Linked DNA regions of Rattus norvegicus. The protein of the gene in region 7 interacts with the protein of the main gene of each other region in a pairwise test. Links are inferred from orthologs where the notes say so. Each region holds a gene or a part of one and is shown on either strand. Other genes may lie near its edges. The genes, in order: Fbln1, Spry1, Egfl7, Adamtsl4, Fam221a, Trip6 and Hoxa1.

Region 1 (3,494 bases), on a different chromosome or scaffold from region 7:
CCAGGAAAGTGAACACTCCATCCTCCTGTTCTCACATTCCAAGTGGCTGAGATTGCAGGCCTGGGCCCCCAGTTTGTTTGGTTTCTGGTTTTGGAAATTGCTGGGTTTTATGTCTGTCCACAGAAAAGGAATTTGAGACTCAGAGCTGTTAAGTAACTCCTCTGACTCAGGTCGGCCATCGCTCAAGCTCAATCCCTGTGCCCCACACATGAATTTTCACTTACTTTTCTGACCCAGACCCGCCTTCTACAACTACCACTGCATTCTCTACATTCTTTTTTAAAACCTTATGTTACACACACACACACGCACACACACACACACGCACTCACGCACACACGCACACTCAGATTATCAGGTTAGTGTGCCAGTTGCCTTACCCACTGAGCCATCTCACCAGCCCCCTCTCCACTCTTATGTATTTCAATGTCAGGCACCTACCACATGCCCTGCCGTGGCTATGTGTCTGAACTGTGGACCCTGTGGGGAGGAATGCTCACTCAAATAAAATAGATTGACATGCATGGCAACCTGTAGGTGTGACAGTATGATCAACATATAAATACTATGTCAGAATGAAACTATAACATGGCCCTTATCAATTTACATTTTATGCAAGTTAGGCATGGTGATACATAGCTATAATCCCCAAAAACGGGGTCCAAGGGTCAAGAGTGTTAGGTCATAATCTAATGCATAATTTGTTTAAAGCCAGCCTGGGCTACATGAGACCCTGGTTGAAACCCACTCCCACAAAGAGATAAGGCTTTACGATGTCTATGTTATATGTTGAAATCTTATATGTCATTATATACAATCAATTATATATATGTATGTGTGTGATATATATATACACTATTTGAATGAAATATATGTTATATAAAATACAATATTTATATTTTAGAAATTAAATCTCTATTTGTATATATGCATGGGAGATCAGAAGAGGTTTTGTATCCCATGGAGCTGGAGTCATATAGTGTTTGTGAGCCACTCAGTGTGGGTGCTAGGAATCAAGTTTGGGTCCTCTGCAAGAGCAGTATCACTCTTAACCATTGAGCCATCTATCCTGTCCCCATAAAACTATATTGAGGGGCTGGGGACTTAGCTCAGTGGTAGAGCGCTTACCTAGGAAGCGCAAGGCCCTGGGTTCGGTCCCCAGCTCCGAAAAAAAGAACCAAAAAAAAAAAAAAAAAACTATATTGAAATACTGCTTAGTGGCGAGGAGGCGGGATCTGATCAGAGCTTGAAGACATTTATCATACCACTGTCCTGTAGCAGATCACAGGTTCATTGGCCTCTCACGATAGCATGAGTAGCAACTTTTTAGCCATGGGCAGAGTGGTAAGAACACCCTTGCTCTCCAGTGGCTAATGTCACAGTTGCTGGCAGACAGACACCCTGTGGGCTTCGGGCCTACAGGGAGGAGAAGTGTCATGTATGGATTCAAAGGAGCTTTGAGAATCTTACGGGCCCAGCCAGCATTGTGACCCCATCCAACCTGGCAGGCAGACCCAGCCCAGGGAGGGGCCCAGTGGCAGGCAAAGGGTGACGAGCCTTTGACAGAAGCCATATTTGCTTCTAGGCCTTTGGAGGGACATGGTCGCAATGCTGTGGCCATCATGGGTATGAGAATGGGGTGCTAACTGCCTGTGGAGGTCTGTAATGCTGGGTTCCCAAGTTAAACACAGGTTTGCTTAGGGAGAAGTCTATGGGTGATATGTGGGCAGATGGCATGCTGGAGAATCTAGATAACATGCTGCAGGAGGTCCAAGGGCCTGTCTTATAGGGACTTGGGACTGCTTCTCCTGGAGAAGGAGGTTGAGAACCCACCCTTGTCTTCAAAGATCTCAGGAATCAGGAATAAACTATTGCTTTTCTTCTTCCCAAGGTCCCCGTCTAGGGTCTAAGAAGGAAGGACGGAAGGAGAGAAGGCTCAATTCTATTTCAGGCCTTTTCTGGGGCCTTTGAACCCCCATTAGACAAATGGTAAAACAGGAAACCGGAGTTCCCCACAAGGGCAGGTGCTGGCGCTGCCCCAGACCTGCCGACCCCCAAAGCCACACTCGCTGCTTCCCTCCTATTTGAAGCTATGTGTGACAGAAGGGAGGTAGTGAGCTCACCTATCCCTAGTGACTGGAAACAACCCAGAGTGACCAGGTGGAAGGAGATGGTTACCCTGGTGATTCAAGCATCTGCCTCGGGCTACCACAGTAGCCTCGAAATTCCCGAGGAAACCCCTTTCCCGGATACCCATGTTGCTGCGTGCCTGCTGACACCCAACAGGATGTCTTCTGCTCTCTCCCCAGGTGTCGTGCGCCAAGTGCGGCCCATCGTGGGCCCATTTTATGCCGTCCTGAAGCTGGAGATGAACTACGTGTTGGGAGGCGTGGTTTCCCACCGGAACGTCGTCAATGTGCATATCTTTGTCTCTGAGTACTGGTTCTGAGGACCGGTTTGCAGCACGGCCAGGAGTGTACCCCTCCGCCTGGCCACGCCCTTGCTCCCAGTGACTGCCAGGTGCCTGTCTGTACCCCTCGGGCGTTCCTTGGTGTTTCATGTTGGTTTGTAAGGCCACATACATTAAGCTGAGCCACGTCACTTAAGTCCAGCTGACGTACTGTGCTGTTTAAACATTGCTCAGTCATGTGGTTAAATCCTTGCTTTTTTTTTTTTTTTTTTTTTTTTTTTTTTAATGCAAAGGTCGAATTTTATTCTCTTTCCCTGCCTGTGGGCTAGGCAATGCTAAGGACCAATTGAAGGAGTTTTCAAAGCAGCGCTCCACCCAAGAGCCAAGAGGTAGCCCTTCTCACTGAGTCTGCTTAAGGGGTGACATTTTGGTACATATATATATATATATATATATATATATATATATATATATATATATATGAATATGAATGAGAAAAACCAACTGGGCTCTGTGTGCTTCAAACTGATGGCTGCTGTAGAGCGGTGCATAAATAAATATACAATAAATTCTCCCCAGAAGCAGCTCACAAGCATGCCTCGGGGGCACCTAGAAAGTGGATTGCAATTTTGTTCAAAGGAAAGCCCTTCGGTAAAGATGTGAGCTGCAAGGTTTGTGTGTGGCCTGGTATGGCTGTGGGGGAGGCTGGTGTGTCCCTGTGTGTCTCTGGGGGTAGCTGGTGTGTCTCAGTGTATCTATGGGGGTGGCTAGTGTAGCCTTCCTTGTGTGTCCATGGGGGTGGCTAATATGGCCTCATGTTCAAGGATGTGGCTGATGTGTCCCAGTGTGACCATGGGGGTGACTGGTGTGTCCCAGTATGACCATAGGAGTGACTAGTGTGTCCATAGGGTGACTATTGTGTCCCAGCAGGTTCATAGGGGTGACTGGTATGTCCATAGGGGTAACTGGTGTGTCTAGTGTGTCCATGGAGGTGGCTGGCTTTCTTTGTACCCTAAAGCTACCTTTCCTCACAAGGGTAAACAAGCTTTTGTGATCTTCCTAACAGCCTACTACACACTCTCCA
Region 2 (4,274 bases), on a different chromosome or scaffold from region 7:
CATTGGCTGGTATGATTTCATGAGTCCTTTCCTGCTTTTCGGGTCTTGGTGCAGTTCGAGGAGCCGGTCTTCTCGCTACCGAAGGTCCCTCTGTGTATTCATTGCTGCCTCTGATGGCTTTGATCTGGTCTAGGGACAGAATCGTGGCAGGCTGGGTGTCCCTGTCATAGTCTAACCTCTGCCGGCCTTCCACAGCCGGTGGCTGAATCACCACTAGTGAAGTGTGGCTGTCATGCTGACTTGGGGAATCCATGTGGAGTGATCTCCAATTCCAGCAGTCAGCGGAAATCTGCCATGCATCTGAAATCCTAAAGAAGAGTGAAAGAGAAAATAAGCGGCAGAAAGCGGTTTTTTTGGGGGGGGAGGGGGAAAGGGCTTCTGTCAAGAAACAAATTTCCCAAGCCACATGGTAAAGATCTCCTTCGTCGGCTGATTCCAATGATGCAGAATCCTGGCCAGAGTCCAACTCCCAGAAAAGATTGTAGAGGACCGTATCACAGGAAGAAAGCAAAGACCTCATGCCTTAAAAATTAGAAGTTGCTCTCCAGCTTCTGAAAAGCAGAGGAAGTCATGTCTTCCTGTTTGCAAACCTAACAAATAATTAAGATGAAATATGCCTTCGAAGGCAGCACTCAGTGTGCGCTCTGGAACTGTTCTCAGAGTTCACGATCAGTTCACTGGCAGTTCACGTAGGGAAAATGTCAGCTACTTTTTAGAAGATTAAGAATGGTTTTAGTGCTGTGGCCTCTTGGCCGTTTATATGCTGTTACGAGCTTCAGATTAATGAGAAAATTAATCAAGGCCAATTTCCAAAACACTGGCTGCTCCAAGCTCACTCGGAATCTCCAAAGGTCACTTTCAGCAGAAGTCAGGGTCTGAGGCTAGCTCACCACACACATCTGTGAGATGGGCAAAAGAAGCTACAAAGAACGAGGAATGCTCTGGCACACGTACGCAACCCTTACGGTGTGGCGTTAAAGGCTCACCCGCCACACAACAAGGGTAAGTTATGCACAGTGTCAGCCCTTTAAAGCGGGGAGAGGAACCCTGGTCTTTTTTACAATATATGTATTTCCTTTCATTTACCTGCATGACAGGCCTTGATTTTCATAAGCCCTGAACAGACCGGCTTTTTGTAGTAAAATAAATACTGATACACTGATACAACAAACACGTTTCCATGTCAAGAAGAAATAACTCCCTACTTATAACGTATTCTTCCTAAAAAAAGACCAAATTCTTTCCGTTTCTGGGCGATAGGTTTCTGGAATATTTTTCACACAAATGCCTTCCGAACTTACAGATAGATTGATGCACCTTAATTCAAGAAGGAACCCTCTGCACTTTCCTGGTATCCAAAGGAAAACAAAAACAAAACAAAAAGTCTTAAGGAATAAGTCACTTTACTAACAAATGCCCCTAGACTACAAATGTGTTAGCTTTTTGGAGGCCCCTCTAGCTTATAACTACCTTCTCTGCACACGAGAAACACATCCATAGCAAGTTTTAGTGCCGAACTCCTAAACGATACCGGAAACCTGCCCATCGTTCTGTGCCTTATCTATTTTTTAAAAATTTAAAACTCCATAACGAAGACTTTAAATGTGCCAAGCCTCATCCACAAGAAAGGAAGACGTGGGAACGGCTTGTTTGAGCTATGAAACCCCTAGGCACAGCTTTCATTCGCATTTTTACAGGGCATTCCCAAGCAAGTTCGCTCAGGCGGAGCACTTAGGCGCCCCGCAACCGCCCAGAGCTAAGCCGGAGCGCGCGCGCGGACAGCACTGTGGGTAGCACCGCCCGGCGCTTGGGCCCCAAGCCGAGACCTCAGGGGCACCCAGCCGCGGCAGGTCCGGCGGGGGAAAGTTATGAATGAAAACAGCTCGCGGGCGGGAGGAGGCAGCGCCCTCTCCCCGCGTCCCGCGGCACTGCGCTCCGAGCACAGGCGGGCGCTGGATCCCCAGCGCCATCGGGTGCCGCGCGCTTGGCACGGGCTGCGCGAAGACCGCCAGGACCGCCCGGCCCGCCCCGGCCCGCACCTGCCGCCCGCACTCACCTCGGCCTCCACGGCGCCGGCCGGGGGCGCGGAGCGGGCGAAGCGCGCGCCGCATCAAGCGCGGCGGGGCGGCCGGGCGCGCATGGCCCGCGCTGCGGCCTCAGCGGCCCCCGGGCAGGGGCGCTTCTCCGCGGTTGGCGGCGGCCGAGGGCGGCTCGGGGACATCCGCCGGGTGCGCGCGGCGCCCGCTCCACAGCACCGTCCCGTCCCGGTCGTCAGGCGCGCGGCCCGGCGTCGTCCCGGGCTCTCGGGTTCCCGCAGGTCCGCGTCCCCGCAGTCGCCACGCCGGCTGCAGACGAGCAGAGACAGAAACACGTGAGTCCCTCGCCAGCCCGGGACGCTGTCCTGCTCGCCGTGGTAGACAGCCACGAGCTCCGGACACACGCGGCCGTGCACGTTTTGCCCCCACGGAACGCCCCGCAGTCAAAAGCGCGTCCCAACGACGCGTCTGCGAGAGGCAAGCCCGCACGCAGGGACGGGGAAAGTCAGGTCTGGCACGAGCGCCCGGCGGGTCGGTCGCCAACAATGCGCACAGACACGCGGGTGCGCGGCGGTGCCAGCCCGCGTTCGCACACACGGAACTCGCTGCCCGGCTACGGAACTCGCTTCAGGGCCGACCGTAGAGCGCCGGGCACAGAGCTAGAGCCAGCTCAGAAAACGTCCAGTTCCAAGAAAATAAAATAAAATAAAGCACCATTCTCACCTGATCTCGCCAGGTCCTCGGCGGGAGGGGAAGGCTCTTACCTAGTGCAGAGCCTGGGGCCGGCCTTCCCGGCACATGCACGCCGCCCACAGCAGCTCCTCAGCCCGCAGAGCTCTGGCTGCGGGGCCGCCGCAAACCCCTGCGTGCTGAGCACTCGCGCGCGGGCTCCGCAGCATTTCAGCGTCGCCGCCACCTCCACCTCCACGCCGGGACCCGCCCCCGGTGATATCATGTGTCAATCACGCGGGCTGCGCGAAAACCCGGAGCAGGATTTTAGCGATCGTGGATGTGGACTCGAGGACGCTCTTAAAAAGTTGATTGCCTGCAGAAATCCTGCAAGCGCAACAGGGGAGTACCCGGTGTTTCAGGGGCCCTGTCAGTCTTGAGCTGTCAGCCTCCGATTTAAGGGGACTGGTGGATTCACCCTTAGAATTGAGTTAAAAAGAGTTGTGAAGAACATTTAAAAAGCAAAAACAAGCAAACAGCAACAACAACGGAAAAAACGTGTACACCATGCCACCGTGCCCCCAGACAGAGGGAAAATGTGTGAAGTACAGATCATGCGAAATATGAAAGTTCCAGAAAGGACAGTCACTTCTGCAAATGCAATATAATTACACACTGAAGAGTGGAAATTCCTGCTGTGGGGTTTTAGTGATTGCTTCATTTAGTTTGTGATTTGATCCCTAAAATTACATGGGGGAGGGGGAACCCAATTCCTTCCTGTTTTGTAATGTTTGTATAATTTTGTCAAAAACACCAATACATTTTTAATCTAGTAAAATAAGCATAACTCATCAGGAAGTTTTAACTTTTGTCACATGTCTGTCACGGGGTGGGGGACTTTAGTAAGCCAGGGAATGCTTTTCGCTTCTTTACAAACTAAGGAATTTGGACATGTATTCTGGGGACGATATAGCTCAGGATGCAGTGAAAAGGAATGTATGTGAAATTAAAAGTTCCACGAAGCTTATCTTAAAGATAACCTAAGGCCTCAAAAATTGTTAGTGGAAAATAATTTTCCAGGGAATTTTTATCAGGAACAGTATTTGATCAACAACAGAACTCCATGATCTAAATCACCTGTGAACGGGAGTTTGGATAGTTTGGGTTCAAAGTAATTTTTTAAAGTCTTAACAATTGCAGTGGATTTTGATAAACATTTTTATGACCATTGGCATACTGCATTTCCAAGCTTTTGAATGTTTTTTAGTGTTCACAATTATGCGTGGGATTACATGCAAGGAACCCAGGCACTCCCTACACAGAACAGCAGCCGCAAGAAAGTGCACTAGAAGGCAACAAAATGTAGTAAAAGCCAAGAAGCTGCCTGTTCACCCTTCATGGAAGGGGATGTGTTAAGGACATGTTTTCAAGTGTAAAGTTGGTGGGGCTTTTCTATCTTGTAGATGTAGCAGCCTAAGGAAGTTTCTGCAGTAGATCTCTCTCTCTCTCTCTCTCTCTCTCTCTCTCTCTCTCTGTGTGTGTGTGTGTGTGTGTGTGTGTGTGTGTGTG
Region 3 (3,418 bases), on a different chromosome or scaffold from region 7:
CAGATGATATAGGCAGGGTGCATGCTTTCCAAGGAAGGCTTGGCTAGGGTCACTCCACATTGGACTTCTCTGAACTATACTTACGCACCACAGAACCATCTACCGGACTGCCTACCGGATTGCCTATCGCCATAGCCCGGGGCTGACTCCCAGCAGGCCTCGCTATGCCTGCTGCCCTGGTTGGAAGAGGACCAACGGGCTCCCTGGAGCTTGTGGAGCAGGTAAGGGGCAGTGTGCACTGTGCCTGATATGAACTTCACTTCCCACTGCCCAGCAGTATCCCTGCTGCCTTCTACCCCTCAAGCCATGCATCCTTGCTGCAGGGCAACCCTTCCCTGGATGCCGCAGGGTTCTGGGAACTCCCCTGAATGGGTGACAGACAGGCCTCTCCTACCCACAGCAATATGCCAGCCACCGTGTGGGAATGAAGGGAGTTGCATCCGCCCAGGCCGCTGCCGCTGCCCTGTGGGATGGCAGGGAGATACTTGCCAGATAGGTAAGCCTCACTCTTCTTGAAGGGTCTTCTTGGTGTCTTGTGTATCCTAGGTTACTGCCGGCTGAAGCAGGTTCTCACCGATAGGTGGATCTGAACAGGGCTCTGTGGTCAGGACCTTGGCTTCTGTAGAGTGACACCTTCGTTTCTTACAGATGTTGATGAATGCAGTACAGGAGAGGCCAGGTGTCCCCAGCGCTGTGTCAATACTGTGGGAAGTTACTGGTGCCAGTGTTGGGAGGGGCAGAGCCCATCTGCAGATGGGGTGCTCTGCCTGCCTAAGGAGGGGCCCTCCCCGGTGGCACCAAGTCCCACGCCAGGTAAACTTGTCTTTCCGACCTGCGGTGACTGGCCTGGATAGTGAGCACTGTTGTGTGGTTGAGCTGAGCATGGAAGCTACAGAGGGCAGCTAGCCCTGGGTGGAGGCCAGCACTATGCTGAGGGCTGATTCCAGATATCCTGGACTGGTGGGGGGAGGTTCCTCACCTGGGTGGGAGGGGCTGCTTTCCCCTGAAGAGGTTTCCGGAAGGTATTGTGGGGCGGAAGGCATAGCTGGGAGCCTCACCTCGACCAACTGAATGAAAAAAGAGCCCCACCCTGACTCTGGCAGCCTGGAGCCGTGTCTTTGCCGGTGACAGCACATTATTACTTTTGGTACGCGCTGTGACACTTCAAACTCGTACCGTGAGTAATAATGCGTGGTCAACAGCGCAGCACCGGGAGTGCATCGGACCTGGGTAAGGACCATTGTTGGCACTCAGGGTGGCCAGAGAGGCTTTGCATCTCCAGACTCTGCTTCCACAGCTGTGGCCGAGGACTCAGGCCTCTGTGGGACAGGAAATCCCCCTCTCTGACTAGCGCCTGGATCTGCCCCCAGGAGTGGACAGCGTGGTGAGAGAGGAGGTGTACAAGCTGCAGGCCCGGGTTGATGTATTAGAACAGGTGAGGCTTGGCTGGGAGTGGGTCTTGCTGGTGTCCCCAGTCCCCAGTCTCTGGAGCTGTGGTTCCAAATCATGGGGGGCTGGGAGTTTTATGGGGAAAAGGTCGTAAGGATGCTGGTTTTTTTTTTTCCATTTTCTTTTCTTTTTTTTCGGAGCTGGGGACTGAACCCAGGGCCTTGCGCTTGCTAGTCAAGTGCTCTACTACTGAGCTAAATCCCCAACCCCGGATGCTGGCTTTCTTACTGTGCTAGGTAGCACTGTATGGGATTCCTTAGTCTAGGGCCCACTTAGATTGCTATACAAGGACTCTGGTAAGTCTCAAGCCACAGACCCCAAGACTCTCCTAGTTCATCTCTGGGGTCCCAGGTCTTTGTAGCTAGATTGTGGATCTGTTAATCACCTGTGTCTACTAGACGCTGGGGTCCCTCTATTGCAAGCAGGGCCCTGCTGCTACAGCCCAGTAGAAAGAAGCCTTACTTCTCACACATGCCCTTACTAGTCTTCCTTACGTTCCCAGGGAACAGAGGTCAAAGAGGTCACTAGGCTTTTTGCAACCTTCCTTTCAAACAGAAACTGCAGCTGGTGCTGGCCCCACTGCACAGCCTGGCCTCTCGGTCCCCGGAGCATGGGCTGCAAGATCCTGGCAGCCTGCTGGCCCACTCCTTCCAGCAGCTGGACCGGATTGACTCACTGAGCGAGCAGGTCTCCTTCCTGGAGGAACAGCTGGGGTCCTGTGAGTCCCCCAGATCCTAAGGAACCCATTAGGGGGATACCAGGGCTGGGTGGACGGCACCACCACTGGGATGGGCAGATCTGAAAGTTTATACCCTCTTTCCTCTCCTTCCCTAGGCTCTTGCAAAAAAGACCTGTGATGGCTTCTCAGTGCCCATGTTGGATTGAGCTGTTACCCCTACGTCCCTTCTAGCCTGAGTTCAAGTGCTGTCCGGTGGTGCCTGTGAGCAGAAGGCCCTGCTTGTTTATCCCTCTCTCTTAGGAGGTTCCTAGGCCCTGGGCATGGGGAGGGGGGTCTTGTGTGGCTCTTAAGTGAGGCTTCCGGGAAAGGAATAAGATCTCCCTGCCTAAGAAGTGAGGTGGGGGCTGTCTCCACCTTTGTCATATTAAAGCTGGGACTTGAGCTGCTGTCACTGGGTGAGTCGGACTGTGTACACACTGTACTACTGCCATGTAGGAGCTGCAGTGGGCAGTCCTGAGGCTCTCTTCAGCCTATGCTGATGCTGCCAAGCCCGTGGTCTGCACACCCTTCAGTTCTGTGGACCCTGCATTCACTGAGCAAAGCAATGCTGGCTGATCACAGCTCACCTGCAGGCAGTTAGGGAGGAGGGAGCTCAGACACCGCAGCCCCAGGGATCGATTCACACACCATCTTTCCCACCCTTCATCCCTGGATGGGGACTTGGGAAGAACTCTTACCACCCTCTGGTCTCTAGGCACTTCTGAGTTCATTTATAAAAAAAAGAACCAAAGTACAGCAGTGATTTGTGACTGAGGCCGTCAGACGGTGGGGGTGGCAGGCTCTGCCCTCTGGTGCTATGTGAACCGGCTTCCTTGAGACTGGAAGACCAAGTTCCTCCTCTTCATGATGGCCTGATACAGGCCACTGCCTGGTTCCTGAATGTTTGTCCTGCATGATGGGGTGGGCCTTGGGTAATGCGTTGCCCATTCCTAGGTGCCTCGTGGTCTTGTGGGTCAGCCCTCTTGCTGGATTCTGGAGGCACAGGCTCGAGATGGGAAATTACATAGGGTCCTGGGTTTAAGGCCTATGCCAGAAGGGGCTTCCTGATTCCAGGCCCCAGGGAGAGCCAGGCCAGCACGGGAGCAGGCTATGATGATGCTTGGTAAGTGGGAGGCTGCGGCCTTCTGTCCACTCTTCAGCCTCTGCTTCCCATTGGTCTTCCCCCAGCTCCCCTGGTCCTGTAGCCTGGGCTACTGGGCTGGCAAGACCCCAGACTCCTTAATGGTAGAG
Region 4 (4,125 bases), on a different chromosome or scaffold from region 7:
CCAGCTCCTCAGCAAGCAGGAGTCCCTTGTCACTCGCCAGACCCCTTCCAGCAATCCGGTCCCTGAGCTTGCTTGAGCCCTCCCCACCCCCACCCGGGTGTGTGTGTGTGTGTGTGTGTGTGTGTGTGTGTGTGTGTTTTGAAACAGTGTTTCTCTGTGTAACAGTTCTGAATGTCCCGGAACTCTGTTCTGTAGACAGTGCTGGCCTCAAACTCACAGGCAGCCACCTGCCTCTGCTTGGATTACAGGTGTGCACCACTACCCCCAGCTCCTTCCCTGCCCTAAGTATCAGAGATAGAGCCGTTCCTCTCACTGCTACCCGTTTCTTACCTGCCCAGCCAAAGCTCCATGCTCTTCCTGTGACTGCCCCTGGGCTGGGGAGAAGGGACAGGGTAGCTACTCTGGCATCAGGGATGGAGGGTGCTCTGAGGAGGGAGGAGCATGGTGTTACCCCTGCAGATATCTGGGGGACTGAAGGGCTGTCTCAGCACAACACCCACAGTCTGGAGGGGTGGGGGAGGAGTGGTCCACCCCTTTAGGACCTAAGGGTGGAAGCAAAGGATCTTTGTCTTTGTCATCTGCTGAGGAGAGGGTGGGGGTCTGACCTCAGCCTCTCAGTTCAGTTGAGTCTCCTCCCTGTGGCCCAAGATGGACTTATCTCCTCTGGAAGCCGGAAGAGGGCCTGTGTGCAGGCAGCTTGGACCTAGAGGTTCTTTCTCCTAATACTCCAGGTCCTAGAGGAGACAGGCTATGCCAGGCACCCATGAGGGGCCAGCCAGAGGCCTCTTAGTACCAGGGGTAGGGGCACAAGCCATAATCCCACACTTGGGAGGGGGGAGTAGGAGGAGCAGGAGTTCAAGGCAAACCTGAGTGACATGGGACCTCTAGCTAAAAAAATTGAAAATCAACCTCCTCCCCCTAACAAAACCCAAGAGCATTTGTTTCTTACCCCTCTTACTCTCTTACTCTCTTACCCGCCCCAGTCTTTCTTTTCTTCCCCTTTTAACTAAGCTCCTTATGGAGGAACAGTGTCATACAGCTTTTTTTTTTTTTTTTTTTTTTTTTTTGTCCAAGGGATAAACTAAGTGCTAATAGCTTCATCTCTTGAGAAGAGGCAGTGACTTATTCTCCCAATGGGTGCCAGCATCCACAAGGCATTGGCTCAGGGTGACTTAGCTCATGTACTAGTTTTCTGCTTTTTTTTTTTTTCTCTTACAATGCTCAGCCAAAATGGCTGGGGCACCTAAGGAGAGATGCAGCCTTCATAGCAGCCCATGCGTCTGAGGCTCTCCTTCAGGTATACCTGGAAAGTCCACCCTTAAGTCTAGCTGTAAACACTGGGTAGTGGGGGGCTTCTATACCTGTCCTCAAACCATGTCTCTCCCTACCCCCAGCCCCAGCCCCTTCCTTCTCGCTGAGGCCCTGCCTACTCACAGCCCTCACCCCATCTTAGTTCTGCTTTCCAGGAAAAACACTGTTTCTGCTGGATCTGAATGGCACCATGAGAAGAATCCAAGGATTGCTGGCCAAAGTAGGCCAGCTCAGGGCATGCAAAGGTCAGAGAGGAGGCACAGCTAGGTTCCACTCCCCCTCCCTGGGACCCCAGGACATGAGAATTTGAGGAGGGGATCCAATTGGCTGAGCTGAGTTCTTGGGGCTGTGGAGGAGGTAAAATGCACTCCTCTCCTTCTTCCCCTAGCTGGGCAGCCACAGAGTCCACCACTTCCCTGATGGAAGAGACCCACCCATCAGCCCTATGCCTGCCTTGGGAGGCTGGACGGAAGGAAAAAAAGGGGTGATGAACACAACCTGTCTCTTGTCCGATGCGGGTCCCCTCTCCACCTCCCTCTGCTCCTCTCTTCTCCCCCAGGTCTGTCCCTGCTGCCTCTCCGTGGTCTACCCAGTACACATAATCCTGTCCTGAGCTGGTTTTGGCAGCTCTCTGGAGAAGTGAGGGGGGGGGGGGGGGACGAGAGCTCCTGGGGCTGGGGCCAGGCCTGGCTCCCTCTCTGGAAAAGTCCACCCCACCCTCCCCCGCCTAGGGGGGCAAGAGCTGACACCCCCTCCCAGCACAAATGTATGCTGGTTGTCCCGTTTTCATGCCCAGGGTGAGAAAGACAGAGGTCGGAGATGGGCAGGGTGGACCCTGAGGTTGGAGATGAGCAGGGTGGACCTAGGCTGAATACAAACCTATGTTGCTCCTGGTCACACCCCCTCTGGGCCAGTGACACCAAGGGAAGTGACCTGAAGGGAGCTAACCTTTTCACCCCAGGTTCACCTGGGGGGGGGGGGGAATGAGCCAATGCGGGGTTGGGGGAGGAGTATGGAGTTAGTAAGGGCTGGGCTAGCAGAGGAAAGATGTTGTCCTGTCAGAAGGCCTGGGTTTTCACGGGATCTCCACCACCACCACCCTGCAAACCATCCCAACAGGTGTCCTTTCCCTCAACCTCTCACAACAGGCTGAGCTGTGCAAAGCTCACTCACCCGCATCCCTCCTGGACACACTATCCCTGCGATCCCAGAGTGCAGGCGTCGGGGCGCATCCTCCCGAAGCCCCTCAGGGAAGAGCCGGCTGCGCCAGCGCGTAGGGAGGTCCCGGTTATGTTTTCCAACTTCACTATGTGACTTAATAGGAATCTTGGCGCAAGCCCTCGCCCGGGTGATGGGACCTGGAGTCCCAGAGACCAGACCCCCTCCCCAGGAATTCGCCTCAGGGTCTACTGTTCTAAGACAGTCAGAGCCCAGGCGGGGGTCAGGGAGGCTCTACCTTCTCTGCGCCCGCTCTCTCCAGCTGCCTCCGGTGGCCACCGCGGCCCGGAGCCCCGGGACAGCGCCGCCCGCGGCAGGCTCCACCCCACGCCACCCGTGCCCCGCCCGCCACGCGCTGGCCTCAACCACCCATCCCGGGCGCCCGGGACAGCTAAAGATCATGCAGTCACACTGCAGGCACCATTCCCGCGCCCACCCGGGGGCTCGGGACCCCACCGACTCTGGAAGGGCAGCCTTTGGGTGGAGCCTGTCCTCGAAGAACCTGAGCTAGCAGCGGACCCGGAGCAAGGGGATTTGCAAACTGGACCCTTGTGGTCCTGCGCAAGCTCAGATCCGCCCAAGCCAAGGCTCTCTCCTCCACGCAGCCAATGCCATCGCCTCCGCTTTTCCCATACTGGGCAGTGAACCATGTGGCTCTGATGGCCCAGGACGTCTGTGAGCCTCGGTTTCTTCATCCATAAAATTTTACACCCTGGAGCTTAGCGGAAGGAATGCACGCTGCATTATGAGTCAGACAAATTTGGATTTGAATTTCAGCTTGAGCACATGCCAGCTCTGTGGTCTTTCATGAGCGCTTCGACGTCAGTGCGGCAGTGTCGTCTGTAGAATGGGAGAATCTGATGTGTGTGCTAGATGTTTATCCATCTCCCTGTGGAAGAATGACTGAGGAGGGGTGGAGAAGGGATGAAATCGGCTTTCGGTTTTTATTCTATTCACATTCTATTTATACGTCTTTTTTTTTTTTTAAGATTGTTTGTTTTTCTTTGAGGCAGGGTCTCAGTAGCTCTGTCTGACTTGAACTGTGTAGAACAGGCTGGCCTTCCACTCACGGAGATCCGCCAGCCATTGCTTTCTGCAGTGTTGGGATTAAAGGCCTGCCTGTGCCACGCCTGTCCAACCTGGTCTACAGGGTGAATTCCAGCCAAGGCTGGGGCAGGGGGAAGTGGGGAGAACATATAGGGCATAGTATTGCACGTTTTATAATCTTAGCACTTGGGAGGCTGAGGCAGGAGAGGAGGACTACTGCAAGTTCAAGGGCAGCCTGGGAAACCCAGCAAGTTCTAGGGCAAGCTGGGCTACAAAGTGAGATCATCTCGGTTTCAACAACAATGAAGTACCCGAGCAAGGGTTGAGAGAGAGCTCAGCCACTGAAGGCCAGGCTCACCACCAATGTCCAAACACTCAACACACAAGTTCTGGCAACATTGTCTTGCAACCCGTAAAACAAGAGGCCCCTGGTGCACCAGACTAAGGTTTCTTGGATATATCTTGTACTTTGTTTAAATTCTTAAGGCTCCAAGTCTAGTTTGAAGAGATCCTGCCAGTGGAAATGGCCACTTTGGAGTTAAGGTGTTA
Region 5 (3,500 bases), about 2.9 Mb from region 7:
TTTGTGTTTCAATCTTTTAAAGGTATAAGCAGCACAAAACTGACTTTGAAACGGTTCCCCAGCAGCGTCCCATTGATCTGCCCTGCCGAGTGACCGGTTGCCAGTGCAAGGCTTACCACTATGTCCCTCTGAACGGCACCCAGCCTATTCGCTGCAGGTGCAAACACTTCGCTGATCAGCACAGCCCTGCCCTTGGCTTCACATGCAATGCCTGTACGTTCCATTCTTAAACGAAGTTGCAGTGTTTCGAGTTCTTTATTAATACTTAATGGATTTTATGACAGTTTATCCAGTTATAAAGTCAGTATTTAGCTACAAAGCAAAATTCGATGGGTGGATATTCAATTCTTGGAATGTTTAAAGTTCAGTGTTGTAGAATTTAAATAATTTATAATAGGGACAGATTTTTAAAGAATTACTAGACACGACCTGATTATTATTATTTTATTATTTTTTCATTTTGCTTTTTGGAGACAGGGTTCCTTTGTGTTGCCCTGGCTGTCCTGGAACTCACTCTGTAGACCAGGCTGGACTTGATCTCACAGAGATCCACCTGCCTGTGCCTCCTGAGCTGCTGGGATTAAAGGTATGAGCCACTACTACCTGGCTCAAAAGTTGTTTTTTTGTTGGTTTTCAAATTTATTTTAATTTAATTTTATGCCTATGGGTATTTTTGTCTACATGTATGTCTGTGTACCACATGTGTACTTGGTACATGTGGAGGCCAGAAGTTACCCCGGAACTGGAGTTACAGATGGTTGTGAGCTGCCAGGTGGGTACTGGGTTCTTTGTAGAAAAGCAATAAGTGCTTTCAGCCATTGACCCATCTCTGATAAAAAGTTTTCAATAACAAGCTGGAGTGATGGCTCAGCAGTAAAGAACAATTATTGAACAATTATTATTCTTACAGAGGACCTGGGTTCAGTTCTAGCACCTACATGACACCTTACAACCATTCATAGGACAGACGTTGTGCACAATCATAATTTAGGCACTCACTCATACACACGAAAGTAAAGTAAATGAATCTATAAAAATAACAATGTTTCAATGAGAGTTTCATTAACCTGGTTCCTTTTTTGCTATGGTGGTTGATGTTGGGTGGGCACGGATCCCAACATCTCACGAATGCTAGGCAAGCCCACTGAGCCACACCCCCAGTCCCAAGTGAATTCTTTACAGACTTTTAATAAAAGGGATTTTGTAAGTTTAAAAAAAAAATTGCAACAACCTGACAAACAATTCGGATTTTCTGACTGTGGGTTCTCAGACAGCAAATTCTACATGTAGCAGTTCCAAATCCATAGACTGTGGAAACATTTCTTACTACACGTAGTCTGCATAAAAGGAACCCAACCTGAGCAGCAGTTTACTGACGGCAGTGGAGTAACCGTTTCATCCGACAAGCACGGAATTAGTTGTATAAAACCTAGGGCTTCGGTTCTCATCCACAGGTGTAAGTGGTGAGAGAAGGTAAAGATTTATGTTATACATTCCTGTCTCTGTTCCAATATGGCTGTTTAAAAAATATGCCTGTGTACATGACCCTGCTGCTGGCAAAGGCCAGAAGAGGGCATCAGATCCCCTGAAATTGGAGTTACAGACAGTCGTGAGCCACCATATGGCTGCTGAACTCAGGTCTTCTGCAAGAACAGTGTGTGCTTTCACCCTGCCGAGCCATCTCTTCAGCCAGTAGTTTGTTTGTTTGTTTGTTTGTTTGTTTGTTTATTCTTTTAGTGTCAGGGTTTTGCTATGTATACAGGCCTGGCCTGAGAGTTACAATCCTCCTGTCTCAGCCTCCAGAGTTCTTGGCTTACAGTAGTTCACCGCAGTGCTCAGCTTATTACATAGCTTTTGAGGAGAGAGTCTGCGTTTTCTGTCACTCCAGTTTTTAAGGCAGTGTCTTTTGGGCCCAGTTGGTTTTTGAAACCTTCCCCCCTTTCAGTGTTCACCCCTTAACTACTTCAGCATTCTGTAAGAATAACAGTGACTGGAGAAGGTAAATGTCCCAGCGTGGTGTCCCAGCTTAGCGCTTGTTCTTAACGTGTGCCCTTTGTGTCTTAACTCAGGCTCCAAGTGTTCAGGATTCCACAGCTGCTTCACTTGTGCCTGTGGCCAGCCCGCATATGCCCACGACACCGTGGTGGAAACCAGGCAAGAGAGGCTGGCCCAGGGAAAACCTGTAGGACAGGATGTTCCTTATGCGGCAATGGGCGGTTTAACTGGTTTCAGCTCACTGGCAGAAGGCTACATGCGCTTAGATGACAGTGGCATCGGTAAGTGAGGACGTGTGAGCCTGGCACGAGACGCACCAACAGTGACAGAGACTTACACTGACTTAGCATTTTAGGGTCATTTTTCTTTCAGAAAAATTTCCCTTACTTGGTTTTTCTTTTAAAAACTTGGTTGCACTATATAACATATTGTTATAGAAAACTGACAGAACACATGAGAAAAGGTTATTCTGTGACAATACCTACCCAGAGTCCCCATCCCTGTCGGTGAGAGGAGCTGCATGGAGCTTTTGTCTGATAAGACAGAATTACTTGTTACTTTACTGTGTGCAGCTTGCTGTTGTAACGCTCCTGCTTCCTCCCCTCCCCATTTTCCTTCTCTTCTCCCTCTTTTCTCATTGACCTACATCAAGTCCTTACAATGCTATGTGTACTAATACTTTTATTTACTTTGCAGATATTTTCCCCTTTATGCTATTAAGAGTTTTATTGTAACACTAAAAGTGTTATTCTATTCTTATTTATGTGCCTGTGTTTCTGTGTGTATTTGGGTGTTCAGGTCCTTGTAGGGCTAGGAGAGGGCATTAGATCCCTGGCGCTGCAGTTACAGGCAGATGTGGGAGCTGGGAACACAGCTCTGGTTCTTGGAAGAGCAGTAGGCCCTCTCTCTCAGGACCTGTCTTCCCAGCTCCCGATGTTAAGATTATGTTTAAAAAGCTTGTAACTAGGTTTTTATTCCACTTTTTAAAAATTTTTTTTCTATTTTTTAAAAATTTTTTCCATTTTTATTAAATTGGGTATTTCTTATTTACATTTCAAATGTTATTCCCTTTCCTGGTTTCCTGTCCATCAGCCCCCTAACCCCTCCCCCTTCCCTTCTTAAGGGTGTTCCCCTCCCCATCCATCCCCCATTACCGCCCCCCCCCAACAATCCCCTTGATTCCACTTTTTACACTTTGTTTTATAAATGTACTTCTCTGTCTTCACTTTATCTTAATACATAATTTCTTTTTTTTTGTGATGTTGGGATTTACTTTTGTGAACATGTGAGATACTATAATTAAGTTTTTGTGCAAATTGATGCTGGTTATACAACTGGCATCTTTTTCTCAAATAACTGGGGACACTGTCATATTCTGTCATGCTTGTTATGTGTATGCTAGTAGCACACGTACTCCATTTCTCATTGTATACTTTGATATTTGACGTCCTTCCTGTTTGTGTTCATCTGTCAAAATTACAATACTTTAACATATTTTCTCTTTT
Region 6 (4,021 bases), on a different chromosome or scaffold from region 7:
TTCCTTAGCTATAAATACCTAAGAGTTTCAGGCCAGCCTGGGACACACGACGTATTATCTCAAAACGACAAACAGGCAATCCAAGAAACAAAACGCAAAGTGTTCTTTTGGTTGATGGATCAATCGATCTTCGGAAACCTGTGCCTTGGGCTGGCTTCCAACCCGCTTCCGTAGCCCATGTTCTCCTCCAGACAGGCCTGAGCCACCATACTTAGTTCATTGTACCTCAGCTTGAATCTCCAGCTTCCAGGCCCACCCAGCTGAGTACCTGGCCCTCTCTTGGATAGAAACCTGCCTGTCAAATCTTGACACTCCCAATTTGGCAACACCCTCTCACAGCCCAACCGCTCACCACATAGCAGCTCTCACAATACGCCCGCCTCTCCACGGCATAGAAGTGCTGGCCTCGGAGCTGGGCCCGACAGGTAGAACACACGAAGCAACCAGTATGGAAGACACGGTCCAGGGCCACAACCCCAGCTCCATCACCAACCACATCGTCGCCACAGCCACCACACCGACCTGGGGACAGAGGGGAACAAGATCAGTCTCCACAGACCCAGGACACCGGATCCACTGTCCCCTCCCCGTCCCATCCTACCCAGCGGGTCAGCTCACCAAAGTACTCCCCACTGGGCGGGTGGTTCATGTCATGCACCAACTTCTTGGTCAGTCTCTCCAGCTCCTCCTCTGGAGGCTGGCTCAAGGGGCCCTACAGGGAGAAACAGGGCTTTGCAGTGCTGCTTCGACCTCACACACCGTAAGTAACCCACAAGCTCAGGAACCCTGAAATTTCCTCTGAGAATATCTCCCAGGCTGACAAGGGAAGGAAGCCCCTTCCCTTTGGACATCGTAATCCTTGACCTCTAAGTACCCTAAAACCACAACTGACTTATATTTATTTTTAAGAGCGTGTCTCATATGGCCTAGGCTGGCCTTGGACTCATTATGTAGCCAAATATCTTAATTTACTGATCCTCCTGCCTCTACCTCCCCCATGCTTTGTTTATACAGTGCTGGGTCTAGAACCTTGGGATTCCTACATAATAAAAAAGGACTCTACCGGGGTTGGGGATTTAGCTCAGTGGTAGAGCGCTTGCCTAGCAAACGCAAGGCCCTGGGTTTGGTCCCCAGCTCCGAAAAAAAGAAAAAAAAAAAAAAAAAAAAAAAAAAGGACTCTACCAACTCTCTACCAACTGAACTGCGTCTCCTAAAAACGGTATCTTAATCCCTCAGCCTCCACACCACCTAACCAACGGCCAGTTACCTACAATGACCAGGTACCACCGTGCCCACACCCCCTGGCTTACCTGAGGCTCATGCCCACCTCTTCTTCCTCCTCCTGCAGGGTTATGAACTCCAGCAGCTCCCTCCTTAACCCCTGGTCCTGGCTCTCGGTGGCTCCTATAGCCAGCTCCCCAGACTTCACCACGACCTGTCAGAGGAAAGTGGGGGCCTGGAAGAGGTCCAGAGGCCTGCGAAGCCCCCCGCCTGGGCAGTCCACAGCCTCTCACGGGTTGAGCCACCTTCACTTGAACAGGGAAAGCAGGACCAGCTGGAGTGCTCGCGGTAGCATAAGAGGCTGGAGTAGGTCCACCATAGGGAGATGCTGGGAGCATCGGGGCTGGAACAGCACCTCCGCTGGGTTTCAGGGAGCCTCCACGGTAAGCATGGGGTGGAGGAGCCTCAAAAGCCTGGGAAGACAAACAATGCACAAACAGTAAGGCCAGATCCAAGATCCATGCGCGCCAGGTGGAATCTCGGGAGCCATGACTTTTGTCAAGTTCCCATGGGTTAGGCCTAACAAGAAGGAAGTTCATGATTCCTTGAACCAGTTATTTATTAGTTGCAAAGAGGGTGGGCGGAGAGTGAAGAGGGCGGACTGAGGCTGAGAATCTACAAAAGAGAATCGGCTGACACAGGAGAGACAGAACACAGGAGATCACCTGTCTGTCTGGTCGCCTAGGTGCATGACTGCGACTCCCGTCCAGATCAGCCAGCATGCTGGTGAGCGAATCTATCTCAGCGTCCAGACTTCCAGGGTGGATGACTCCCCGGTCTGGAGGGAGCCCCTGAGACAGAGCCAAAACAGGAAGAACAAATACCGATCACAACCCCTACCTAGCCTTCTCTCACCTTGATCCTACCCTCACCTCCAATTCTCACCTGCAGGCGCTGGGCTGCTCCATGGGATCCCACCCAAGTAGGCCCCCGATCTTCCGGTACCCCCGGAGGCTGATAACATTGTTCAGGTGGGAGGGGGCAAAAGTTGACCCTGGGGTGAGGCTGGAGCGCTAAAGGGGGAGACGGGAGGTGAGAGCGGAGAAGGGTACCCTGGTTAAAGCCGCCTTTCTCAGGCAGCTCTCCTTCACGTACCTGGGAGTCTGGGGATGGACCAAGAGTTAGGGAAACTTGCACAAGAGCAAGGGACTCTGGCTTGGGGAAGGGACAGCAGGAAGCAGATAGGCAAGGAAGAAAAGGTTAAGGAAAGTGGCCAATGGCTCTTCTGCCACTCCCGGGTGTGGGAAAGGGGAACACTTACTTGCTCCATGGGCCGTTGGCGGACCCAGGGTTCCTCTGGGCAGCGCTCTCCCCTGAGGGACTCTGGAGGGCTCTGGCTGCTTCGGGGGAAGCCAGGTGGGCCCGGACATGGTCTGGAATAGGGTTGCTCCACTCCAGACAGAGGTCAGGACCCCCACAAGCCCAGCGGCCGGGCCCTTGAGCCCCTTCCCTCCCTTTCGGCCCCACGCCCCGTTTGGGACTCCAGCAAAGAAACTTTTTCTGGCTTTTTTTTTCTTCCCTTCCTCCCCAATTTTGGAGAGGACCACGCCCCCTGACGTCACCACATTCCTGGTGAGGGTCACGTGGTCCCCCAAGCCTTATTCTACGATTCTTCCTTTCTCTGGCCCCCTCCTGTTAAGTGAGGACCGCCCTCCTCCGGAGCCAAGCCTAGGGTGGGCTGCAGGCCTCTCCGAGAGGCTCTGGTCCAGCAATTCTCTCAGATCCCTGCCCCAGTCCTGCACGTGGCAGCCTCTTGGCCGGGACTCTGAAAGTCTCCACCCCCTCATAGATCTCTCCCTTCCCACCCGGCTCCCTCTCATCTACCCACCAGCAGTGCTCCACCAGCCCATAGTGTTTTGGTCTTTTATTTATGGTCAGTAGTTAGAAAAATAAAACAAAACACAAACATCACCACCCAAGGAAGTCGGGGAGAGGGAGGTGGTGCGTCTGTGGCCAGGATGGGGACACTGAGGTAGCCTAGAGTCACAGAAGAGACCAGCCCCTCTGGTCAAGGCACCAGTGAAGGAAGCGTAGGCAGACCAGGAACAGGGCCGCAATGTCCTCCCCTACAATGGGGCAGCCACCTAGAATTAGTGTACTATGTCCATTCGCCACCCAAAGGAGACCAGGGTCCCCTTAAAACATCATCAAAAGGGCAGGGCCCATTGGGGGCGGGGGAGGGCGTCCCTTGTTGAGAATGGGCCTGGGCCCTCTCTATCTATCCAACACTGTATGCACAGGCATCAGAGATCAGTACAGGTAACCGGAGTGACACCATGAATAAGAAGGGTGGGACCCAGATCACGGCTTAGGGTCTCCAGCAGTGCCAGGTATCTAGGGTAGCGGGCAGGATCAGCAGGAGGTCGAGGAAGATACAGGAAGGTAAGGGCTGTGGTGGGTCCCTCCTCTCCATCCCTTCCTTCTGGTCCCCCAGGGCCTCCTCCTGTGCCTCGTCCCTGCTGGGCACGCACCAGGGCATTGGCACTGCAAGCTAGAGCCTCTGCCTCTTCGTCTCCTCGACCACCATTCACAAAGTCCCCTTCCTCCTCCTCAGGCTCCCCAGCCTCAGCCCCTTCACCCCACACCACCTCTTGCACCTCTGCCCGGATCCTGAGTTGACTCAACAGGGCCCGGAGCCTTCCCTCTGCTGCCCCAGGAGCCTCTCTGGGCCCCAAGCACAGAAAGATCCGGAGCCGGGCACTGTGCCAGGCAGGCACCATGCTTAAGATGGTAGCCATCT
Region 7 (3,929 bases):
TAGGAGTTGACTGTGATCTGGCCCTCTGAGGCCTATATTAAGAGTGAACAAGCTTCTGAGTCTCAAAGAGTCGGCAGATGGCCTGCAGCTCAGGCTCGGCCACGCCAGCCACGTCTGCTGGCGCCAACTCTCTCCTCTGCCTTCTACCCCTCAAACTCCAGCAGCAGAGTTGCTCCGAATCTTGCAGGCTACCACGAGCAAAGCTGACTGAGAAGGAGAAGGGAAGGAGGAGGGAGGGAGGGGGAGAGAGAGAGAGAGAGAGAGAGAGAGAGAGAGAGAGAGAGAGAGAGAGAGAGAACACTCGGCCTTTCCCAGAGAGCTAGGTTCCTAGGGCCGACCCCCTCCGCCCCCTACGGCCCCGGGGTCGAATTACTGAAGCTCCCATTGCTATGCCATTGGCCAGCAGGAATCAGGGAAGAGGGCTCTGAGACCCTCTGGATGAGGATAGAAGTTTCTTTTCTTGCTCTGGTCCCCAACACATTCACCCGGGTTCCTCCCAGTCAATCGTCTGCGCACGTCCCTCTACATTCCGAGGCTGGCGAGCCAGTGACGCAACCTCGCCCTAGGCGCCGCGATTCGGGACTCTGCTGGGGCTGGATCCTGGCGGCAGTCCCCGAGCTGAGGGCGTGGTGTTTGTTGGATTCCCACCCTTCCCACCCCGTGTGCTCCCAGCTCCGCCAGGGTCCTTGCGACCACGCAGAGATTTTCAGCCCACAAGATGCCGGCCACAAGACAGCCGGGAGGCCTCATCCCCTCTCACCTCTTGCCTGTTCAGTTCTCTCGGCTGGGTGGGGAAGGGGCCGCGGAGGGTGCCTCCCATCCCCCCCACTTCTGGAGGCGGAGGCGCGCAGAGCCGGGCGCGCGCAGAAGTCAGTCTCGGCTCCCTTTAGTCCCAATGCTCCAAGTCAGCTCCGGCAGCGGCCGTAGCTACCGCCGCGGCCCGGGCTGCCTGGGGGGGCGAGCGCGCGTCACCTACACTGAGGAGCGCCGGGGATTTAAATGCCACTGAAACGGTGATCCATCACCGCCGCCGCCGGTAAACTTTCGCAGGCGGCTCAGCCATTGGCTGACAGAGTCACGTGTCCTTCCCCTCGAGCCCTCCGCCTGCCCGCCCCGCCTCTTGCGCACTGTACATTCATATCATTTTTCTTCTCTGGTCCTATGGAGGAAGTGAGAAAGTTGGCACGGTCACCCAGGGCTTCGCAGGACCCAGTCACTCAGTGACAGATGGACAATGCAAGAATGAACTCCTTTCTGGAATACCCCATCCTTGGCAGTGGCGATTCTGGGACCTGCTCGGCGCGAGTTTACTCCTCTGACCATGGAATTACAACTTTCCAATCCTGCGCGGTCAGTGCCAACAGCTGCGGCGGCGACGACCGCTTCCTAGGGGGCAGGGGGGTGCAGATCACCTCGCCCCATCACCACCACCACCACCATCACCATCCCCAGCCGGCTACTTACCAGACTTCTGGGAACCTTGGGGTTTCTTATTCCCACTCGAGTTGTGGTCCAAGCTATGGCGCGCAGAACTTCAGTGCGCCTTATGGCCCCTATGGATTAAATCAGGAAGCAGACGTAAGTGGTGGGTACCCCCCGTGCGCTCCCGCTGTTTACTCTGGAAACCTCTCGTCTCCCATGGTCCAGCATCACCACCACCACCAGGGTTATGCTGGGGGCACAGTGGGCTCGCCCCAGTACATTCACCACTCATATGGACAAGAGCACCAGAGTCTGGCCCTGGCCACGTATAATAACTCCTTATCCCCTCTCCACGCCAGCCACCAAGAAGCCTGTCGTTCCCCTGCTTCAGAGACGTCTTCTCCAGCGCAGACCTTTGACTGGATGAAAGTTAAAAGAAACCCTCCCAAAACAGGTAAGTCCTGCCAGCTGGCAAACAAATGCTGTTCAGTTTTTGAAAGGGGCCGGTGCACCTAGTTTCCTAGGAAAATTAATGATTTTAAAAGATAGGTTCTTGCTTATGTCTAATGTCGTCTAGAGTTGTAGTGGGTGGTGTAGGGTGCCCAGGTGTGTTGAGGCAAAGGAGTTTCAAAGGGGCTGAGGTTTAAGTGGTCTAAAGGTAGATGGTGTGTGTGTGTGTGTGTGTGTGTGTGTGTGTGTGTGTGTGTGTGTGTGTTGGGGTGGGAGGTGGTAGTGGTGTCCTGTTAATATCTACAGGCTCCATTAATCACGAGCCTGATCACGCTAATGGCTGACTTCAGGTTAACACTTTACTTACAACATCGTTAGTCACTGGCGCTTCCTGATAGGGTTTGCGCTGAGCAGTTTACTGAATATTGCCTCAAGTTTGGGGTAAAGGTTTAAGAATGTTTATCTTTTCTCTCTTCCTCCTCTACCCTAGGGAAAGTTGGAGAGTATGGCTACGTGGGTCAACCCAACGCAGTGCGCACCAACTTCACCACCAAGCAGCTCACAGAGCTGGAGAAGGAGTTCCACTTCAACAAGTACCTAACAAGAGCCCGCAGGGTGGAGATAGCCGCGTCCCTGCAACTCAATGAGACCCAGGTGAAGATCTGGTTCCAGAATCGCCGCATGAAGCAGAAGAAGCGCGAGAAAGAGGGGCTCTTGCCCATTTCACCCGCCACCCCTCCTGGAAGCGATGAGAAAACTGAAGAATCATCTGAGAAATCCAGCTCCTCGCCCAGCGCCCCTTCTCCCGCATCATCTACCTCAGATACTCTGACTACCTCCCACTGAGGCTGCCCCAGCCCAACTCTGCAGCCCAGGCTTCTCCCTGGGCTGAGATTTCTTACCCAAAGCACATTCTTAGCTTATCTTCCTTTCTTTCCAGACTCTCTCTTCCTTTCTGGTCCCATCTGGGGAGCTCCTGGCTAAGATAAGATATTTCCAGAGAATTCTGGAGACTTGGTTGGAAGTTAACTCCTTATTCTATACCAGGTGCCCACATCAATTTCTGATGGTCCCCAACGCCCTTTCTTTACTGTCTTGAGATTTTTTTACACAACCTATGGTTCCTTTACTGTCCGTTGGAGAACAGTTCCCTTTGCCAACAGATATCTGCAGAAGGGAGGTGTCTCGCCTTTGTATCTATGTATTGTTCTGCTCCACCTGGCCTTTAAGTAGGACATAGAGGAGGGAGGGTGTCCAAAGGCTCATGAGGAAGAGATGCTCCATGTTTACACAATTCACCCCTTGATTGCTGGGTATGAATGCTTTCTCTTCAGAGATTTATCTTTATACACATTTCGTAGAAATATGTAAGTCACTAAATCAAACAGGGTGGACAAATTCTCAAAACTGGCACAGGCCATGTGTGATTATGGGTGAAAGGAGAAAACCTCTCTCATTCTGAGTCAGATACTTCAGAAGGTGGCCTTGGTTGGTTCTTTCAGAGTTTAGGCCTACAAAGCACAAGGTTCAGAACCTTTCCTGTGCCGAGTCTTCCCAAACTCTAACCAATTCTTCCTGCTTCTCTGGCCACCCTGCATTTAAAAAAGTTATGCTGGACTATTTGTAACCTAAAGGAATTCTTTTCAACCACCCTTTCTTTTCACAGTATCTTGTATCTTGGCTGGAGACAAGTGTATTTTCAGCTAATTGTTTGTTAATGTGATGTATGGCACAACGAATGTATATTTTGTGTGGTTCGTGAATAGTCTTCTGCATGTCGCACAATGTTTTGACCTCCCTGAAATAGCACACTGAGTTCTATCAGTTGTCCTTTGTGAGCCTAAGATAGTCCCCATTTCCTGTACAATCATGAGCAGCTCTGAGATCCTGGAGTGACGTGGTCCAGAGCAGAGTTTACGGGTCTTACTTAAGATGTCTGTAATAAAATATTCAAGTTTCAGGTATGCCTAAGCATCTTGCGTATTTGGCTGGGCTACAGTGTCTGCTTACATTGGCTCATTTCATGTGGGGAAGGGAGGGTAGTGTTCATTTTCAAA

What was found.
Region 1: the proteins of Hoxa1 (region 7) and Fbln1 interact in binary tests that used the Homo sapiens proteins (3 or more experiments, as listed by UniProt). The link is inferred for Rattus norvegicus from reciprocal best matches to the Homo sapiens genes HOXA1 and FBLN1.
Region 2: the proteins of Hoxa1 (region 7) and Spry1 interact in binary tests that used the Homo sapiens proteins (3 or more experiments, as listed by UniProt). The two-hybrid records come from large-scale screens. The link is inferred for Rattus norvegicus from reciprocal best matches to the Homo sapiens genes HOXA1 and SPRY1.
Region 3: the proteins of Hoxa1 (region 7) and Egfl7 interact in binary tests that used the Homo sapiens proteins (3 or more experiments, as listed by UniProt). The link is inferred for Rattus norvegicus from reciprocal best matches to the Homo sapiens genes HOXA1 and EGFL7.
Region 4: the proteins of Hoxa1 (region 7) and Adamtsl4 interact in binary tests that used the Homo sapiens proteins (3 or more experiments, as listed by UniProt). The two-hybrid records come from large-scale screens. The link is inferred for Rattus norvegicus from reciprocal best matches to the Homo sapiens genes HOXA1 and ADAMTSL4.
Region 5: the proteins of Hoxa1 (region 7) and Fam221a interact in binary tests that used the Homo sapiens proteins (3 or more experiments, as listed by UniProt). The link is inferred for Rattus norvegicus from reciprocal best matches to the Homo sapiens genes HOXA1 and FAM221A.
Region 6: the proteins of Hoxa1 (region 7) and Trip6 interact in a two-hybrid assay, tested with the Homo sapiens proteins (2 studies listed by BioGRID and IntAct). The two-hybrid records come from large-scale screens. The link is inferred for Rattus norvegicus from reciprocal best matches to the Homo sapiens genes HOXA1 and TRIP6.

The regions. Positions count from the first base shown.
Region 1 is NC_086025.1:118,266,972-118,270,465, forward strand, and holds the end of Fbln1 (fibulin-1 precursor), read left to right. Parts: intron 1-1,265; exon of another isoform or gene 1,266-2,064; intron 2,065-2,123; exon of another isoform or gene 2,124-2,309; coding exon 2,310-2,449; 3' UTR 2,450-2,994; downstream 2,995-3,494. UniProt on the Homo sapiens protein: Incorporated into fibronectin-containing matrix fibers. May play a role in cell adhesion and migration along protein fibers within the extracellular matrix (ECM).
Region 2 is NC_086020.1:122,483,985-122,488,258, reverse strand, and holds the start of Spry1 (protein sprouty homolog 1), read right to left. Parts: upstream 2,801-4,274; 5' UTR 2,760-2,800; intron 2,346-2,759; 5' UTR 2,057-2,345; intron 309-2,056; coding exon of another isoform or gene 254-308; coding exon 1-253. UniProt on the Homo sapiens protein: Inhibits fibroblast growth factor (FGF)-induced retinal lens fiber differentiation, probably by inhibiting FGF-mediated phosphorylation of ERK1/2. Inhibits TGFB-induced epithelial-to-mesenchymal transition in lens epithelial cells.
Region 3 is NC_086021.1:29,812,049-29,815,466, forward strand, and holds the end of Egfl7 (epidermal growth factor-like protein 7 precursor), read left to right. Parts: intron 1-93; coding exon 94-221; intron 222-323; exon of another isoform or gene 324-400; coding exon 401-496; intron 497-648; coding exon 649-813; intron 814-1,101; exon of another isoform or gene 1,102-1,219; intron 1,220-1,370; coding exon 1,371-1,435; intron 1,436-2,004; coding exon 2,005-2,167; intron 2,168-2,283; coding exon 2,284-2,306; 3' UTR 2,307-2,918; downstream 2,919-3,418. Other genes in the region: Agpat2 (1-acyl-sn-glycerol-3-phosphate acyltransferase beta precursor), read right to left, coding at 3,379-3,418. UniProt on the Homo sapiens protein: Regulates vascular tubulogenesis in vivo. Inhibits platelet-derived growth factor (PDGF)-BB-induced smooth muscle cell migration and promotes endothelial cell adhesion to the extracellular matrix and angiogenesis.
Region 4 is NC_086020.1:185,932,997-185,937,121, forward strand, and holds the start of Adamtsl4 (ADAMTS-like protein 4 precursor), read right to left. Parts: upstream 2,801-4,125; 5' UTR 2,485-2,800; intron 1,917-2,484; exon of another isoform or gene 1,810-1,916; intron 1,711-1,809; exon of another isoform or gene 606-1,710; intron 543-605; 5' UTR 351-542; coding exon 331-350; intron 1-330. UniProt on the Homo sapiens protein: Positive regulation of apoptosis. May facilitate FBN1 microfibril biogenesis.
Region 5 is NC_086022.1:79,674,743-79,678,242, forward strand, and holds part of Fam221a (protein FAM221A), read left to right. Parts: intron 1-22; coding exon 23-213; intron 214-2,069; coding exon 2,070-2,276; intron 2,277-3,500.
Region 6 is NC_086030.1:25,021,738-25,025,758, reverse strand, and holds the start of Trip6 (thyroid receptor-interacting protein 6), read right to left. Parts: upstream 2,801-4,021; 5' UTR 2,652-2,800; coding exon 2,543-2,651; intron 2,295-2,542; coding exon 2,167-2,294; intron 2,073-2,166; coding exon 1,947-2,072; intron 1,695-1,946; coding exon 1,311-1,694; intron 713-1,310; coding exon 619-712; intron 523-618; coding exon 353-522; intron 1-352. Other genes in the region: Slc12a9 (solute carrier family 12 member 9), read right to left, coding at 3,525-4,021. UniProt on the Homo sapiens protein: Relays signals from the cell surface to the nucleus to weaken adherens junction and promote actin cytoskeleton reorganization and cell invasiveness. Involved in lysophosphatidic acid-induced cell adhesion and migration.
Region 7 is NC_086022.1:82,586,410-82,590,338, reverse strand, and holds Hoxa1 (homeobox protein Hox-A1), read left to right. Parts: upstream 1-1,129; 5' UTR 1,130-1,227; coding exon 1,228-1,876; intron 1,877-2,362; coding exon 2,363-2,718; 3' UTR 2,719-3,834; downstream 3,835-3,929. UniProt on the Homo sapiens protein: Sequence-specific transcription factor. Regulates multiple developmental processes including brainstem, inner and outer ear, abducens nerve and cardiovascular development and morphogenesis as well as cognition and behavior.